Callithrix jacchus: one gene and its partner. The protein of the gene in region 2 interacts with the protein of the main gene of each other region in a biochemical or structural test. Links are inferred from orthologs where the notes say so. Each region holds a gene or a part of one and is shown on either strand. Other genes may lie near its edges.

What was found.
Region 1: of the proteins of CASP3 (region 2) and GZMB, one has a biochemical effect on the other in vitro, tested with the Homo sapiens proteins (2 studies listed by BioGRID). The link is inferred for Callithrix jacchus from reciprocal best matches to the Homo sapiens genes CASP3 and GZMB.

What each region holds. Positions count from the first base shown.
Region 1 is NC_133509.1:58,857,022-58,862,294, forward strand, and holds GZMB (granzyme B precursor), read right to left. Parts: upstream 3,481-5,273; 5' UTR 3,445-3,480; coding exon 3,390-3,444; exon of another isoform or gene 2,570-3,389; coding exon of another isoform or gene 2,374-2,569; coding exon 2,226-2,373; intron 1,766-2,225; coding exon 1,630-1,765; intron 1,425-1,629; coding exon 1,164-1,424; intron 542-1,163; coding exon 329-541; 3' UTR 70-328; downstream 1-69. UniProt on the Homo sapiens protein: Abundant protease in the cytosolic granules of cytotoxic T-cells and NK-cells which activates caspase-independent pyroptosis when delivered into the target cell through the immunological synapse. It cleaves after Asp.
Region 2 is NC_133504.1:6,739,906-6,745,021, reverse strand, and holds the start of CASP3 (caspase-3), read right to left. Parts: upstream 3,507-5,116; 5' UTR 3,442-3,506; coding exon 3,253-3,441; intron 2,566-3,252; coding exon 2,467-2,565; intron 1-2,466. UniProt on the Homo sapiens protein: Thiol protease that acts as a major effector caspase involved in the execution phase of apoptosis. Following cleavage and activation by initiator caspases (CASP8, CASP9 and/or CASP10), mediates execution of apoptosis by catalyzing cleavage of many proteins.

The DNA.
Region 1 (5,273 bases), on a different chromosome or scaffold from region 2:
AGTATAAATCTGGACTCAGCTCCAGAGAAGGTGGTTCATCACAAAGGGAGCTTAGTTTGCTTCCTGTAGTTAGTGGCATTTCCTGGTTTTCTTTTCCTTTCGTTTTTTTTTTTTTTTTTTTTTTTTTTTACATGGAGTCTTGCTCTGTCACCCAGGCTGGAGTACAGTGGCATGATCTTGGCTCACTGCAACCTCTGCCTCCTGGATTCAAGTGGTTCTTCTGCCTCAGCCTCCTGAATAGCTGGGATTACAGGTATATGCCACCATGCCTGGCAAATTTTTGTATTTTTAACTGAGGTGGAGTTTCAACATCTTAGCCAGGCTGGACTCAAACTCTTGACCTCGTGATCCACCTGCCTCGGCCTCCCAAAGTCCTGGGATTACAGGTGTAAGCCATCGTCCCCGGCCTCATGGTTTTCTTTATCCAGTGTACAAAGCTTGAGACTTTGGTGAAGGCCCGTGGAGACTTGCCATTGCGTGGTCCATGAGAGACAATGCCCTGGGCCACCTTGTTACACACAAGGGGGCCTCCGGAGTCCCCCTGTGAATAGAGAGTGGAAGGATTGAGCTGATGCTTCTCTTGGTCCTGCCCTTTCTGCCATCTCAAGCCCCCTCTTAGTGAAGGCCAACTTGCACAGCCTGTACATGGGAGACCAGAGGGCAGGGCAGGCTCCTGGTGGTCTCCAGGTGCCAAATTCTGGCCCTGGACATTGTTATTGCTTCACCTTATCCCAGGGGCCAGCCTCTGTCATCTCCCCTAGATCCCAGGTATGTGGGACAATTGGCTGAAGCAGGCAAGGAGGGCTGATACCCAGCATGGAGTACCAGCTGATTAACCACGTTGGGTATCAGCCTCTGAAGACATACCTGATTGTAATTATTGCACCCCCAGTGATCATAGTTTCCTAATATCTGTGACCTGTGGTGGGTGGGGTGTTGCAAATTCATCCTTCCAAAGGAGCACCAACCACCATAAGCCTCCTGGTAAGTTTGCAGAGGCCCTAATTTCTCCCCAGCTCTGTCTGTTCCCCTTTTCTTTTTCCAGAGAGAAAGATCACTGTCTAGTGGGTGAAGGAGTTCCCCACTGCTTGGGTCTCCAGGTCTCAGATCTTCCCCAAACATCTTTCTCCCCAGAGCCAATCCAGGCAGATACGTAGTCTTACCTTAAAGGAAGCCTTTTTAATCTCTGGGTCCCCCACACACAACTCAACTGTACTGTCGTAATAATTGCGTAAGCAGGATTCACACTTTCGATCTTCCTGCACCGTCAGGTTTACCGCCTGTAGTGTGTGTGAATATGTTCCCATGGGGGTTGTCCGTCCCCAGCCGGCCACACTGCACACCTGCCCTGGCTTCACCTGGGCTTTGCTGCTGGGTAGCCTGAGGGGCTGTACAGCTGTGGTCCTCTTGGCCTTTCTCTCCAGCTGTTGGGGAAGAGGCAAGAAAGTCCAGGTCAGCCAATGAACTTCTGGGCCCTGACACAGTGATGGGACAGTGCCGTCTTCCCTCTCCTCTGAGGCACAGGAATTGACCAAGAGGCCAGGATGGAAAGGAGGGGAAGGCTGGTGTCACAGTGGGAGTGGAACCAACTGTACCAAGAAGAGCAAGAGTGGCAGGAGTGTGCCTCACCTGCAGTAGCATAATGTCACTGGAGAAGTTCTCAGGATTATAATCTGGGTGGCAGAAGGTTCTTCTCACAGGCATGCTCTGCTGGGTCCTCTCCTGTTTCTTGATATTGTGGGCCCCCAGGGTGACATTTATAGAACTGCACAGAAAGCAGAGTGGGGATGGGGGTGGAGTCATAGGGGATACAACCCAGGAGCAGTAAGAGCAGGTGACAGCTGGGGCAGGGCAGGGCTGCAGCTGAGGGGAAATTGAGGGGACAGTTGGCCTCCAGGAATTGGAATTCTGGTAATTGCACCAGGTTTCTCAGGGGTTGGTTCCCCCTAGAGACACAAGTGAAATTACTTCAGATTGCATTCTTATGCCAAAGTATGCCCCAGTTCTATATATGGCAGGCTTGGTCACTCTGCTCTTTCTTACTTCAGCAGTGCCTCTGGAACTGACCTTCCCCTCTCCTCACAAGCTTACCTGCCCTTTTCTCACCCTCTAAGGAGCCTTCCTGGTATATGTGCTCCCAGGAGCCCAGGGGGCTCCTTGAGAAGAAGGCATGGGTCTCTGTGAAGTGTTTCCAGGAGGGCATGGGGCTGTTTTCTGCTCCTCACCTTCCCCAACAGTGAGCAGCTGTCAGCACGAAGTCCTCTCGTACCAGGAAGCCACCACACCTCTTCAGAGACTCCTGATCCCAGATTGCAAGATAGGCCATGTAGGGGTGGGAGTGGGGCTTGGCCTCATGTCCCCCGATGATCTCCCCTGAAGGAAAAGTCTGTCTGCTTGTGTGCACCCATGCAGTCTGCTGGGTGAGTTCCTGCTTGATGGTTCCAGAACTCCTGGGCAGTTGGGAGCCTGGGATAGCCTGGAGTTGGGAGGGGCCTGGAGGAAGGGGCTTCAATTTCCTGCTCTGAAAAAGGGAAGAATAGCAGGCTTTGGTCTGAAATCTTTCTTCCATATGTAGTTGAATGCGAGCATACCTGTCTTAGGGACAGTGAAATTCCAGAGGCTCCTGATCATTCCTCTCCTGACTTTGCTTTGTTTCAAGTGAGTTTCCAAGACCCTTAGGAGTCTTGTGGTGTCTAGGATAGTGCTGCTTTCTAACGGCCAGAGTGTTAAGTGGAGGGCTCTAGATACTGTCACATCCTATTTCCTAGAGCCTGACATGTGCTGGGTGCCCAATAAATGTTCCTGGCTGCATGATGGACTGGCTCCAGTTAGCCTCTGGATGAGGGCTGGTAGAGCAGTGCTGGTGGAATTCTAGAAAGCAGGGAAGTTGGGGCCTGCCACAGTGCCTCATCTTCAGAAAGAAGGGAGCCACTAAAGACCAGAGAAGAAAAGCAGAATTGGAGAATGGGACTGAGCAAACGCATTAACAGTGCTTTGAGGACAGTGACTGCACCAATTCTGTAGGCAGCTGAGCTCTGGGTTTCTCTCCTAAGAAGACAGTGAGAGAAGCACCTGTCTTATCTCAGAAACAGAAGCCAGGCCCACTCTAGAATAATTTAATATTTCGTCCTCTGCCATTTACTTCTAGGAAAGTACCACTCTCCAGGTGACAAAGGTGGGCTCTGAGGAGGGGATAGCACCCACTGGCTCTTCTCGAGAACAGTGTTTTGCTCTGCCATTCCTGCTGATAGTTTATCCAGCATCACTCTTGGGGGGTCTCGGTAGGATGGGAGCTGGAGTTCAGAATATTCCTGGTAGATAGATGGATCAGGAATGTGAAGAAAGGGCAGGGGACCTGTGGGATGGGGTTGGGCCCCCAGGTCACTCACCTGCATCTGCCCTGGGCAGCAGGAGGAAGGCCAGCAGGAGCAGGATTGGTTGCATCATCTCAGGAAGTCTGCCCTGGTTGGAGCTGCTGTTGTTTCCTCCTTGCTCTCTTTTAGCTCTTGGGAGAGGAAGGAGGTGGAGTGGACTCAGTGACTTCATGTTCCTCTTTGGTTTTGCGGTGCCTGATCACAGAAGGTTTTCTATGAATGCTGCCCACCCCCACTGCCTCTGCCTGATGACGTCCTCTGGGGGCTTGTGTGAGAATCGTGCAGTGACCACATCAGCACCCACAGCTGATGACTCAGAGTGGATCACCTATTCAGCCTAGAGCAGGAACCCAAGCTCATGAGGTGGACTGTAGGATGTGGTAACAGCCAGTAGAGATACTAGAGCACTAGAAACCTGAGTTTCCAGTGACAGAACCACCAATGCTTTCATGGCCAATCCATCAGGATAGTTTCTTTAGTGAGTATGTGTTTGAGCCCTTCTCTTGTGCTAGAACAAAACATGTTGGAGATGTGTCTCTTTCCCTTAGAAAGAGGAGATAGAGTATAGTTTGGGGAGGGCTATGGTAGAGCAATACACAAGGCAGTAACAAAGCATGGCCACCAACTACTAGACCCATTTATTGTTGCAGCTTCCTTTCTAAGGGATTTCTAACATCCACTATTTAGGTAGAAATGTTTAGTGTGAGAGGCCACCTCTTTTCTGAATGCTTTCAACAGAACTCTTGTACTTGACATTTTTTGGGCCTAAATTAACAAATTGCTATGGTCCTAGGAGTTGAATCCACTTTGGATAGGCTGGGATCAGTCCACTCAAACCACTCAAACCAAGAATGAGAAAGGGCTGCTTCTCTAAAGGATGTTTGGGATGCTAAACTGCTGATATCATGTGAAATGAGGAAGCATGCCAGGCAGCCAAAGATTAGTAGTTGTCATTTTTAGTGTTCTGTCTCCTGTCCAGAGAGCCACACTTCTTACATATCAAGCTCAGCACATAATAGGCTTACAGTAAACATTTGCTAAACAAACTACTCTAATGCTTTCCCTCCCCTAGTCCCACACCCCTGACAGGCCCCAGTCTGTGATGTTCCCCTGCCTGTGTCCATGTGTTCTCGTTGTTCAACTCCTACTTGTGAGTGAGAACACGCAGTGTTCTGTTTTCTGTTCCTGTGTTAGTTTGCTGCTGATCATTCCTCTCCTGACTTGCTTTGTTTCAAGTGAGTTTCTAAGACCCTTATGAGTCCTGTGGTGTCTATGATAGTGCTGCTTTCAAATGGCCAGGGTGTAAATGGAGGGCTCTAGATACTGTCATATTCTATTTCCTAGAGCCTGACATGTAGTGGGTGCCCAGTAAATATTCATGGCTGCATGATGGACTGGCTCCAATCAGCCTCTGGACAAGTGCTGGTAGAGCAGTGTTGGTGGAATTCTAGAAAGGTGGAAACAAATCACATGAATCAAACCACATGGAGAGACTTAGTTGTTCTTTTTTTTTTTTTTTTAATTGTACCTTAGGTTCTGGGGTACATGTGCAGATCATGCAGGATTGCTGCATAGGTATATACATGGCAATGTGGTTTGCTGCCTCCATCCCCCTGTCACCTATATCTGGCATTTCTCCCTATGTTATCTTTCCCCAACCTCCCTACCCCCCGCTGCCTCTCCCCTAGTCCTCCGCAACAGACCCCAGTGTGTGATGCTCCCCTCCCTGTGTCCATGTGTTCTCATTGTTCAACACCCACCTATGAGTGAGAACATGTGGTGTTTGATTTTCTGTTCTTCTGTCAGTTTGCTGAGAATGATGGTTTCCAGATTCATCCATGTCCCTACAAAGGATACGAACTCATCGTTTTTTATTGCTACATGGTATTCCATGGTGTG
Region 2 (5,116 bases):
GGTAGTTTACTTCTATTTTTCCTTTCTTTCTTCTTTTTAAATTTAACAAACCTTGCATGTGGCATTCAATTTACTTCTAAAGTGAAATAGGCCAGACACAGTGGCTCACACCTGTAATCCCAGCACTTCAGGAGGCAAAGGTGGGACGACTGCTTGAGGTCATGTGTTTGAGACCAGTCTGGGCAACACAGAGAGACCCCATCTCTACAAAAAAGTAAAAACAAGTAGATTGGCATTGTGGTATACACCTGTAGTCCGAGCTACTCAGGAGGCTGAGGCAAGAGGATCGCTTGAGCATAGGAGTTGGAGGCTGCAGTGAGCTATGATTGCACCACCGCACTTGAGCCTCTAAAAATAATAAAAGTTAAATTACTGTTTTTATGTTCAGCTTTCAGTATAAGTCATTAAGACATATTTCCTGTAACTCTTGTTTTTCCCCACAAGAAAAGTGAAGCCTGTCCAGTAGGACTTCTGGGGAAACTACACTTTTGTCAAACAACTTGAAAAATATCGGGCTTATATTTATCACCTGTCAGAGAGGACAGTCTCAAAAGCAGTCATATTCCCAGATTTAGCAAATGAAACAAAGAACATCTGTTTCACAACAGTTTGGACATGAAAAGACTTCAGTTGTAATGTACCAGAGGTTTTATCAAAATCTTTTCCCATCTGGTCTCTGAATTCATTTTGGTACATATAAGAATTATCAAACTGGCTATTGTCATTGGGCCTGGTGCAGCCAATCTTTTAATATTTATTGTGTAGTTAAGGTAAAGATATGAGAACGGGAACGCAAAATCAAATACAGAATAAATCTAAATAAGTTCCACTGTACTATACAAACAAATAAACCATCCTTTCCTTTTCTCTGGCATGGGCCAAGTGACCAGGAAGGCAGTATAGAGCACTCCCCACTATTAAAAGCCTATGATACCAGACAGAAAGAATGGCACTTACTATATGCAAAAGATCTGTCTTCCCTTTGTCAAATGAAGTCCTTTTGGATGGCCAAAAGGAGAAAATGGCAAAGCCTTCGCAGATCTGAATAATCTGTATGATTATAAGTGTAAACGGAGGATCTCGGATGCCTTTTTATAAAAATTATAGATAACTTTAAAGCCTCAACACTCCCACCAAGAACCACTAGCCTGCAGAATCAGATTCAGGTTTAAAACCACTTGAAGAAATAAATCCTGCTGTCTGGAAGATAGAAACTGCCAAAAGTCAGATTCAGTAGCATTCATTCATTTGATATTTGGACCATAACAATTTACTGAACACCAGCTGTGTGCAGAGTACTATACTAGACCCTGAGCATATCAAGCAGTGGAAGAGACAAACCCCATTTGTCTGCAGCGCTTATACCAATGCTCGCTGGTATTCAAAGGTGACTGAACAAGGCAGATGCCAGATGGTGTCCAATTACATATCAGGTAGCTCTATCTCATTATTGTAATGCAAAGAAGCTCTACAGGCAACATGTGAAGGCAAGAACGCAACATGCAGAGAAAGAGCATCACATAAATCTAAGAATTCCCACATCGTTTTTTGGGCCCGAACACCAGTGTTTCCTGTTTTTGGGGTAGAGCTTAAAGATCCAGTAGTAGGCACGAGAAGCAATGTAATATATCATCCACACCAATAAAGACTGCTTTGTAGGGGTATGAAGCAGTGGGAGATTGTGCTAAACTAGGTTTGAAAGCACTACAGTAAAGCAGCATTATAATTGCCTCTATCAGATGCCAGTCTCTTCAAATGGCAAGAGGCAAGGCCTTTTTTCAGGATAGCAAAGCAAATCTGATTTACCTAGGTACAATGTCTAACTAATGTCCGTTTCTTTGAACAGGTTTTACTGCCATACTCCAATAAACTGTTCGTCCATTCATTAAAAAACATTTCCACTTTCAAAAACCTTCTTTTGCAAAAAGGCAAAGCAAAACCAGAGTTCAAGCATCGGGCTGTGATAGAGATGATTTAGGCTTTACGTTTCATTTGCGGAGATCATGTCACCACAGCATGCACATTCACAGTGGCTGAGCCCATTTTGATAGAGTGTGGTCTAAGCACCCTGCCTGGCCCTCCTTCTGCTATCCTGCAGGGTTACACTGTTACAACGACTCCATATGTCGCCTCTACCATTTCTTTTCTAATTATAATTTGCTAAACAATCCTAAACCCGGTCTACTTTCTCTAGATAGGGCATAATAGTAAAAACACAAATGGATGGGCATTCACGGTGCTGTGCCATGCCCCACATTTGGGGAAAGACACTAAGGCACACCCAGATAAACCAAGTCTGTCCCTCGGCGTTTGCTTACAAATGCAGCAGGGAAGACAGTAAACAAGCAACTGCAAAGGATATGACACATCTCTCCTAGGAAAGGCTGGCTGCAGAAAGAACACGTTACAGAAAGATTTAACCCTGAACTGTCTAATGAAAACAGAAATCCAAGTAGGAGCTCTTACTTCCGAGCAAACGTGATGGAGGGAGAAAGGGAATGCAGAGGCGTCGCAGGTAGAGCTGGGTATGAAGATCAGCACTGCTGCGCAGAAAGTGAACCGGTGCTAAAGATAAGGCGGGGAGGGTGCTCGCAACACGTGCCGGGGTTTGTTAGCCATGTTAACTGCTGGGTTTAACTTAAGGGCAAAGCACGAGCTTTCTAGACTTTCATTCACTAAGATCCCTCAGCCTGTGCTGAAATAAATAGACTGCAAAGGTCTCTTCCCTGGTCTCCCCACTTCCAGACCCGCCTGCAAAGGAGGTCAGGCTGAAATCAGAAATGGAGAGATGTGGACAGATCTGGCAGGCATTCACAAGGTCGACAAGGCTTGGTGACTAAGTGGGAAAGAAGTAGGTGGGCGAGAGGGGGCTGAGAAGGATGTTTTCTACCTTCCTGCTTGGGTGCCACTTACTGAGAATGGGGGAAAGAGGCAGGTGCAGAGCACCCCCATTGAAACCCAGAAGGCCGAGGATGAGCAGGGCTCGCTAACTCCTCGCGGCCTGGGATTTCAAGGCGACACCACCCGACTGTGGCCAAGGATACACAGCGACAGGTATGAGCTGCGAGCACTCACGAAACTCCGCAGGGCCGAAAAGGAATTGGAGTTTCAACCCCGCAGCTACCTCCATGGAAGAGCTAAACCACAGTCAACCCGGGATAATCCAGGCCCCAGGCATGGAAGGCAGCAGAGACCGAACCCTCGTCCAAAACTGGGAGGATGAGCCCCGGGGGCCAGTAGCTCAGTCCGCACCCGGCCGCCCCGGCCCTCGTAGCGCCGCCTCCCGGGCCACTCCTCCGCCGGCGGTAGCGCTGTCCCTTCTCCTGCCGCCTGGCCCGGCCTCCGGCTCCTGGCCCAATCGCTAGGCCTCCTGCGCTCAGAGCTCGGTGTCTCGTGCCCGACCTCCCGGCCCCGCGCTCGGTTCCTCCCGCTGCCTGGCATCCCCGGCCCCGGCTCGGTTCCCCGGCCCCGCTTCCCGCTGCCTCGGATCCCCGGCCCGGCCTCCCGCTGCCTCGGATCCCCGGCCCGGCCTCCCGCTGCCTGGCTTCCCCCGCCCCGGGCCAGGTCTCCGGCACCGCGGGCTTCAGTGCTCGCCTCCGCCCCGGGTGAGGTGGCAAAACAGAGGCTCCGCCACCCAGACCGTGCCCATCTCAGTCTCCCGGCACAGCTGCCGAGCCGGGCGGGTCCCCGGGAGGACGCAGGGGGAGGACGCAGGGGGCAGGCGCAGGACTGACGGCCCGGGGCGAGGGCGGCACTCACCGCACCACGTCCTCAAACCTTCCACAGCCGCCAAACAGAAACAGCCACCCGCCGGGCTCCGCGTCCGCTCGGCTTCCGCAGCCCGCTGCCCGGAGTCGTGAGCCCCAGTGACAGCCCCGCCCCCGGCCCGCCCCTCTCGGCCCCGCGCGTCCCCGAGCTCCCGCCTCTGGGGCGCGTCCCCGAGCTCCCGCCTCTGGGGCGCGTCCCCGAGCTCCCGCCTCTGGGGCGCGTCCCCGAGCTCCCGCCAGCCCGCCTCGCCTGCCCGCCAGCTGGCGGCGCCCCGCCCCGGCCCCGCTCCTGCGCCGCGCCCCGCCCCCGCCCCCCAAGCGCCCGTCCCCAAGCGCCCCGCCCTGACCCCGCTCCCGCCCCCGCCCCCCAAGCGCCGGTCCCCAAGCGCCCGTCCCCAAGCGCCCCGCCCTGACCCCGCTCCCGCCCCCCAAGCGCCGGTCCCCAAGCGCCCCGCCCCGCCCCCGCTCCCGCGCCGCGCCCCTCCCCCGCCCCCCAAGCGCCCGTCCCCAAGCGCCCCGCCCTGACCCCGCTCCCGCCCCCGCCCCCGCCCCCGCCCCCCAAGCGCCGGTCCCCAAGCGCCCTGCCCTGACCCCGCTCCCGCGCCCCCGCCCTCGCCCTCACGCTCCGGTCGCGTCCCGAGGCCCCGCCCAGACCCCGCCCCCAAGGCCCTGCCCGGCGCCCCCGCTCCGGATTTGAAATCCTGGTCTTCCTGAGAGCCCGCGGGCTTCTGCTCCCAGCGCGGGATTCTGGAGGTAAATTGAGGGAAACCTGGAAACTGCGCCGGGCCCAAGGGGTGGTACCTAGAAGGGAGACGAGGCCAGGCCTGCTGCCCAGTGAGCTCCGGGAAGCACGGGAGCACGCCGAGAGGCCCACCGGTAATGTCTCTCTCCGATGACCTGAGGCCTTTCCTTGTTACCCCCAGGTCCCTCTTCCTGAATCCTTAACCTCCCGTCACCGGAAATAAGCAGGTCCACGCATGTGTGTTTCCACCATGCCAGGCTTCTGTTGACGCTCTTTCAATCTCAAAAGCCACGAGCTGCGTGGAGTTCCCACGGACTCGGTTCTCAGCACTTCTGGTCACTGGGTAGTCGGCCTGGACCGGCAGGCTCCAGCCACTCCCCCTGCAGGTAGAGCTGCAGACGGTCACACTCTACACCGAAGTGCCACAAGGTAAGCCTCCCGCAGCACACAAAGTAGCATTTAACCCCAGGACAAACAGACGAACGAAGCAGGCCAGGGAGGACAAGAGAAAAAGAGGCCTGGATTGGGCCGAGAGGTCCTTCTGAAAATGACTGGAGCTACCGAAGGCCTCTTTTTGTGTTTTTCTTTTCCTTTTTTTTTTTTTTGA